2 linked regions of the Cricetulus griseus genome follow. The main gene of each other region encodes a partner of the protein of the gene in region 2 in a complex. Links are inferred from orthologs where the notes say so. Each region holds a gene or a part of one and is shown on either strand. Other genes may lie near its edges.

The links.
Region 1: Iqcg (region 2) and Efcab2 share a complex: the UniProt entries of both Homo sapiens proteins name them as parts of the nexin-dynein regulatory complex. The link is inferred for Cricetulus griseus from reciprocal best matches to the Homo sapiens genes DRC9 and DRC8.

The regions. Positions count from the first base shown.
Region 1 is NC_048598.1:15,756,272-15,760,548, forward strand, and holds the start of Efcab2 (dynein regulatory complex protein 8), read right to left. Parts: upstream 2,806-4,277; coding exon 2,775-2,805; coding exon of another isoform or gene 2,398-2,774; exon of another isoform or gene 1,887-2,397; intron 1-1,886. Other genes in the region: protein SOGA3, read left to right, coding at 2,398-2,982. UniProt on the Homo sapiens protein: Component of the nexin-dynein regulatory complex (N-DRC), a key regulator of ciliary/flagellar motility which maintains the alignment and integrity of the distal axoneme and regulates microtubule sliding in motile axonemes.
Region 2 is NC_048597.1:56,503,556-56,507,067, reverse strand, and holds part of Iqcg (dynein regulatory complex protein 9), read right to left. Parts: intron 1,503-3,512; coding exon 1,345-1,502; intron 1-1,344. UniProt on the Homo sapiens protein: Component of the nexin-dynein regulatory complex (N-DRC), a key regulator of ciliary/flagellar motility which maintains the alignment and integrity of the distal axoneme and regulates microtubule sliding in motile axonemes.

The DNA.
Region 1 (4,277 bases), on a different chromosome or scaffold from region 2:
AGAGAAGCATAACTACATCAACACATACATAACCACATAGAAAGGTTTTTCCAAGCAATTTTTCCCTCCCTCCCCCCTCCCCAGACAGGGTTTCTCTGTATTGCTTTGGAGGCTTTCCTGGAACTCATTCTGTAGACCAGGATGGCCTTGAACTCACAGAGATCTGACTGCCTCTGCCTCCTACAGGCCTTTAGTCTCTGCTGGGACTAAAGGTGTGCACCACCAACGCCCATTTTAGCAATTCTTCATCTTAATTATCCACTTTACTGGACAGAGACACAGCACACCTCTCAATGTGTCTCAGGGCTTTCCCAGGGACAACTGGATCTTGAGGGCACTAACCTAATCCATTTATAGATTCAAAACTTTGAACAGAACTATAAAAGGTAAGGTCTCTTGAATGAAAAAGGATGCTGGGGTGTGTCCTGGGGGGGGGGTGTCTTATCTTGGCCCTGGCTCCTTCCTATTGCTCCTCTTGGCATGTTTTCCAGCTGTTATGTTTCTAATCTCCCTTACTGATGAGGCCATAGAGAGGGCAAAGCCAATGCCTTCCTCATCTTCTTAGTCACTTAAGTTCTGACTTCACCTAAGGCTAAAGTTAACCTGCAAGCCCCACTTGCCCAAGGACAGAACACTTCCTGGAATGCTGGGGGCTGTTGTCCTTGTAAGATAACAAGTCACATATTTTCACTTCAATAAACAAGGTTGGTTGCCCCATCTGCACAGGATGTGTTTGATCAGAGAGAGGCTGGAGATTTACCTAGGCAGGAAATAGGACAGGGTGTATGTTTGCCCCCATTGGCCAAAGGTGGAAAGTACAGTGGCCTTGTGGGTTTGGCCTTTATAGGCACCTGACTGACCTGATTTCAGCACCATTTCTCTGGGAATCCTGAATACAGACCTGGCTAGTCTCCACCTTCCTGGTCAGTATTTAATAGAGCTTGCTTCAGTTGGACAATCACAGGTTTGGTCTTCTCAAAATTCTCCAGTTTAATACTAACTTTCCATCAAACAAGCATTAAATATACAAGAACTTTAATATATATGAAATTCAGCTTTCAACAGCCACTACTTAACTTGTACAGTTGCAGACAGAACTGTTTCTTCCTCTAAATGTATTTTAAGCTGAAAAATATGCTTTGTTAACTAAAGAATCAGGAATTCATTCTCTTTCTCTCTCTCTCTCTCTCTCTCTCTCTCTCTCTCTCTCTCTCTCTCTCTCTCTCTCTCTCTCTCCCTCCTTCCCTCCCTCCCTCTCTCTAGGGCTAAAAATCAGACTGGGCATACTCCTTTAATCACATCACTGAGTTCTACAAACCAATCAGGGGCACAAGGTAAATAAAAGAATATATTTTCTTGCATTGTAAAAACTGGCAGTATATGCCAATGCTCCCCTAAGCAAGTCTTTTTTAAAAAATGTAATTTATCTCCTAATAGTTCTTTTTCCCTTTTATTTTCTTTGGGGGGGGGGTAAATAAGAATCTAATTAAATAAAAGGGAAAGCTTTTTTATGTGAAAATTTTTTTCATATATTATTTTGGTCATATTCTTTCACCTCCCTGATCCTCCCTACCCCCCTACTCAACAACTATCATATTCTTAAAAAAAAAAAAAAAAAAAAAAAGTACATGGACATTTTTCTTAAGAGTGTTCCTTTCACTTCTAAAGCAGTAACACAAAACCTTAATACCTTAATAGGGTTAAACCTGTACTACAATCCCGGCTTCTGAGATTAATTTTATCATGTATAAATCTCAATTTCCAGTTATCAATAAACAGATCTCTGGCAGTCTCACAGTTTCCCTGCTGCTTTTCTGCGGTCACCATGACGATGGACTAAACACCTCATGTAAATATTAGTTAACTACTTTGTTCCAAACTGAGAGTGGAGGAGGGTCGATATGGTGCGTTGTGAAAACTCAAAAAAACTGCAACAAAGATGGAGCGTGACCTTCCCTCCACGAATATTTGCCCTTTACTATCTTAGGGCTTGCTTTATGTATTTATTTACTGATTTATGGAGCGGTGATTTCGGTCAATTGTGGTGTAATTGCTGTTGGGTCACTGGACGCTAACCACGGACCCGATTTTAAGTCACGCTGCTGGGTTAGAAGCCAACTCAAAGGGTCTAGCAGTTCAACGCGGATCGTCGCTTTTCGGGGTCCCCGGAGGCCTCGCGGGTCACTGCAGCCGCCTCGGTCGGTCCCCAGCACGCGCGGGGAACCCGGCGGGTCCGGGCGGCCCCGACGGGTCCCCGGCTGGGTTTTCCTTTCCGTTCTTATTATAAAGCGGTTATTTGGGCATCTCTTCCTTTAAGCGAGGTTCTGGCGACACCCGGGCGAGCACGGCCCGGTGTGACCTCGAGGCCTCGCTCTGCCGCCTGGCGGAGGAGGCAACATGGAGGCGGCCGGCGCCTGGGGCCGGGCCGGGCGTGGCTACGGCGCGACCGCAGAGGCTCCCGCCCGGTTCCGGCGCCGGCTCGCGTCCGCCGTGAGGCCGGCCTCCGGGTCCCCACAGTCCCGGGCGCGGCGGGCGTGGAGGCCCCGGGAACAAGGACGCCATTATGAAGGTCCCCTGCGGCTGCCACGGCCGCAGCCCGCGCGGACCTCAGCCGGGGGATGGGAGGGCGCGGCGGGCGGGGCGGAGGGGCCGCGGGGCGGAGCCGACGGCGGGGACGCGGGCTGGCGCCGCTCCTCGGCCCCCGTCTGCCCGCCGCGCCGCGCCGCCCCGCGCCGCCGAGGGGCTCAAGATGGAGGCCCCGGCAGCGTTCCTACCTGTGCCTTCCCGTTCCTTCTCCTCCGCCATCTTGGTGCGGAGCCCGTCGCCTGGGAGATGCCCATCACAAGCCCTGCGGGGCGCGCGAGCCCGGCCTGCGGGAGGGAGCCCCTCGGCGCGCGGGGGTCCTCCCGCTTCCGCCCGGGGCCCGCTCCGCTCCCCCAGCCCAGCCCCGGGGTCTTGCGGCCTAGGGGAGTCGTTTATTAATAAAGTTCCGGAGCCCGCCTTGGCCTGTTTGTGACCGTCCTGAGAGTTCAAGCGCTGCGCGCTCCCCCTCGGGGGACGGGGCTGCCTCGTTTGTGTGCTTATTTGTTTATTTACTTATTTATTTATTTACTTATTTGCGGTTTCTGCTGCTTCGGTTTGGTTTTGTATTGTTTTTGCGCAGAGCTCGCGTGCAGAGCGCGGCTTCTCCCCGGCCCATTCACAACCGTAAGGCCGCTCGCCCGCTGCCCTCCCTCCCGCTCGCCCGCCAGCCAGGCCCGGTGCGTCCCCTGGGTCGCCCTCTAAGCGGAGCCACTGCGCAGCCCAGGGAAACTGGAGCGAAAACGGACGTGGGCCGCTGCCGGAGGAAGCCAGCAGGCCTCTCTCCGGGATCGCGAGAGAGGGCTCGCTGTAGGAAAACACGTGCAAAATAGGCGCAAAACACTGCGTCGTCAAGGCTGCAATGTCTGGTACAAAATAGTGTTCTCATAGCAACGAATAAATTGCCGGTCTGTTCTCAGTATTACACACATTGATAGGTTGATGGTGCAGTTTGGCGTGACCTTCCAGGGAGAGTTTTGAATCCTATGTTCCTGAGGAACTTGGCTGTAGTGTTTTGTTATTTTATGGGTAAGCTTGATATATTTGGATGTTTTCTTTTTAAAAAAAAAAGTATTAAAATGTCTTTAACAATGTGGCTCAGATGAATAACTAGTTTTAATCCTTAATGATATTTCAGGGCATGTGTACTCATTTAAAAATTTATTATAAAAATAACAACTAAATGTTAAGGCTTTTAAAATGCAAGATATTAGTATTTAAATTTGGGGAGGGGGAAGGGAGGTTCGAGACGGGCTTTCTCTCAGTGTGGCTTTGGAGGCTGTCCTGGAACTAGCTTTTGTAGACCAGGCTGATCTCGAACTCAACAGAGATCAGCCTGCCTCTGCTCCTGAGTGCTGGGATTAAAGGCATGCACACCGCCAGGCTGTATTTAATTTTGTGTTACTGGTTTTTCTTAACTGAACTTCTGTAAACAGAGTGCAATGAACCTTCAAAGCAGGCCAAGCAAGTGTGGGGAGAAAGAGAACCGGCCATTCCTGATTGCAGAGGATCCTAAATGTTGCCTGCTCCCTAAGTCTTTCTCCACCTCTTCCTCAGTGGTTCCATAGTTCCACAAGCTCTTGGAATGGTTTATAGTGCTTTTATTTATTTGTTTCTACCACATAAGTTTCTAGCGAATAAAGTTGTGTTATACAATGGGACATTCTGTCTGGAAATTGTCTTGTATGTCTGTGTCT
Region 2 (3,512 bases):
CACATACATATATGCAGGCAAAACTCATACACTCATACACACACACACACACACACACACACACACACCAATTAAACCTAATTTTTTAATTTGTTTTGATACAGAGTTGGAAAAATTATATTTATCATTTTGTACTTATCAATAATAATTCATACAAAAAAGAGTTAACAGCTCTATTAAGAAGAGAGTTTCTGCCAGACAGTGATGGCACACACCTTTAATCCAGCACTTAGGAAGCAGAAACAGGCAGATAGATAGATCTCTGTGAGTTCAAAGCCAGCCTGGTCTCCAGAGCGAGTTCCAGGACCGCCTGAGCTACAAAGAGAAACCCTGTCTGGAAAAAAAAAAAAAGAAGGAGAAGGAAGGAAGGAAGGAGGAGGAGGAGGAGGAAGAGGAGGAGGAGGAGAAGGAAGAAGAAGAAAAAGGAAGAAGAAGAAGAAGAAGAAAGAAAGAAAGAAAGAAAGAAAGTTACAAACTAAAATAGGATGTGGTGGTGCAGATCTGTAAGCCCAGAACTCAGTAGAAAGCAAGAGGCCCAGAAATTTTAGGCCTGCCTGGTTTACACAGTGAGTTCAGACCACTTGGGACTAGAGACTGAAAAAGAAAGAACGCGAAGCAAGAAAAGAAAGAAGAGAGGTAGGGAGAGAGGGAGAATGGGAGAAAAAGAAAAAGAAAAGGGGGAAGAAAGAGGTAGGGAGAGTAAGAGGAAAGGGAGAACAAAAGCTCGTTAACTTGTTCAAGATAATACAGCACCATGGGTTATTTGGGGGGGGGGCTGCTTGTTTGTTTTGCTTTTTTTTTATTTGTTTTTGGGGGGTTTTTTGTTTTGTTTTGGTTTTGGTTTTTCCAGACAGGGTTTCTCTGTGGCTTTGGAGGCTGTCCTGGAACTAGCTCTTGTAGACCAGGCTGTTCTTGAACTCACAGAGATCTGCCTGCCTCTGCCTCCCGAGTGCTGGAACTAAAGGCATGCGCCACCACCAGCCAGCTTGTTTTGGGTTTTTGTTTTTTTGTTTTGTTTTGATTTTTTTCAAGGCAGGGTTTCTCAGTAACTATGGAGCCAGTCCTGGAACTCACTTTGTAGACCAGGCTGGCCTCGAACTCACAGAGATCCACCTGCCTCTGCCTCCAGAGTGTTGGGATCAAAGTCATGTGCCATCACTGCCCAGCTTGTTTTAGTTTATCAAGGCAGGGTTTCTCTGTGTAGCCCTGGTTGTCCTGGAACTTGCTCTGTAGACCAGGCTGGCCATGTTTTAAACTGTGCCACTCCACTTTTGGGACCTTCACAGAAGCAGGTGTCCTCTTTCACACCTGCTGGCTGGTATGATTACCTTCCCTTCTTCTTACCTATCATTCTGAATTTTCTTCAGTGTCTCCAGGTTTATGATGGTCTGCCTGGTAGGCTTCTTTAAGATTAAGTCCTGGCCTCGTTGTTTCATTTCTGACAAAGGAAGAGATAATTTCCTTGTACTTGAGACCGCAGATGGTTTTTCGTGGCTTGCTTTCTGAAAATAAATGGTGTTAAAGATACTGTTTTAGGGGTTAAGAGTACTTATTCTTGCAGAAGACCCATGTGGGGGCTCACAACCATCTGTAACTCCAGTTCCAGGGGACCCACACACCCTCTTCAGACCTCGGTGGGTGTGCATGGTGCACAGACATAGACTCAAACAAAACATTCGTACACATACAAACTAAATAAATCTTAAAAAGAAAGTCTTTAGAGATAATTGTTTTAAAGAGACAACACTTTAAGAGGACTGCTGTGTATTTTTCAACCTTTTTCTCCACTTACATTCCATACTCCAAGAAAACAGACCTTTCTTCAGCCCCATCAAAACATATATCCCACTGTTTCTTGTCTTCCTGCCTCCACACATTCTGTCATCCCCTAACTTAATGCCTGGTGAACTATAAGACAAAGAGCAAAGGTGAAGCTTGGGGCTGAGGGGGTAGGCCCATGATAGAATACATCCTTAACATGTGGAAGGCCCTGGACCCAACCCCAGCATCACAAAGGGTAAAAGAGCAAGAGTCTGATGGTTCTGGCTTGCGATCCTGGCACCTGGGAGGTGGAGGGCAGAAGTCAGGATTTCTGGGTCACCTGGCAGGATATTAAGTTTCAGGCCAGCTTTGGCTAAGGTTGACCCTGCTCAAAACTACAAAGCAACAATCCAAAAATGAACAGTAAAATAACAAATCAACAAAAACCCACAGTGATCTGTAAATTTGCCATATTGTAAGTATAAAATAGCAAGATGAGATCTTGGTTTTTATGAGAGGAGAGACAGTGTCTTAGAGGCATCAGTCCACTTCACACCATTTAATTTATTTATTTATTTATTTATTTATTTATTTATTTATTTACTTTTTTCTTTCTGTATTGGGGATGGAACACCCAGGCTTTGTGCCTGGGCATGTCAGATTCTGAGCTAATCCCTATATCTTCATTTTCTTTCATCTCAAATTCTCCATGGAATAAGGTTGGTAATAAACATGATCATCCCGGGGCTGGAGTTCCTGAGTTCAATTCCCGGCAACCACATGGTGGCTCACAACCAACTGTAATGAGATCTTGTGCCCTCTGCTGGCGTGTAGGGACACATGCAGGCAAAACACAATATACACAGACAGCGTAGTGGCATGGACCTGTGGTCATGGGTAAGGAAGGCTGAGTGGAGTCACGAGAGAACTCACTGGGCAACACAGTGAGACAGACAACAAAACAATATAAAACTATACAATATAAACAAATATAAAACAATATAAAACTACAATAATACAAATACAAATAATACAAATACAAATAATAATACAATAATACAAATACAAATAATACTACAATAATACAAAACAATATAAAACTATACAAAATAAAAGGAGAATTGTACTAAAAAGTGAAAATTGGTACCAAATTTAGTAATGTATTTCAGATCCTGAGGGCTATATAAGAAAAGCCAAAATATTTTTCAGACCTAAATTCAAGTACTGAGGAACCACAAGACATCATTTGTCTCCCAATTGATTCTTAACCTGTGGCTAAATGCTTGGGCTACTGACAGTAACGACACTTTTGGACTGTAAAGCCAGCTTCAGTGTCTCAATCCTGGCTCTGTTTTTTACTAAAATTTATCTGTTTTTTATCTAAAATTTCTGTGCTGCTGTTTTCTCATTGGCAAAATAAACAGCTAATGTTTTAGAAACTATACAAGGAGGGGGAATGGAAATGTAGGAGAAAATGTGGTAATATTCTTTGTCTACTGACCCTACTCTCTTGTCCCCAGACCTCAAACTCCCTTCTCCCTCATTGTGGTCCCCTCTACTCTCCTGTCCTGGGTGAGCGTATATATAAGTTCAGATCTCACCTATGAGAGAATACACACACACACACACACACACACACACAATTCAAAATAAAAGTGAATTGTTTTAAGGGGAAAAAATCACAAGAAGGGCTCCTATTATGCCAGAAAATCTTGTATGTGAAATATCACTATCATAGCTGGGCGTTGGTG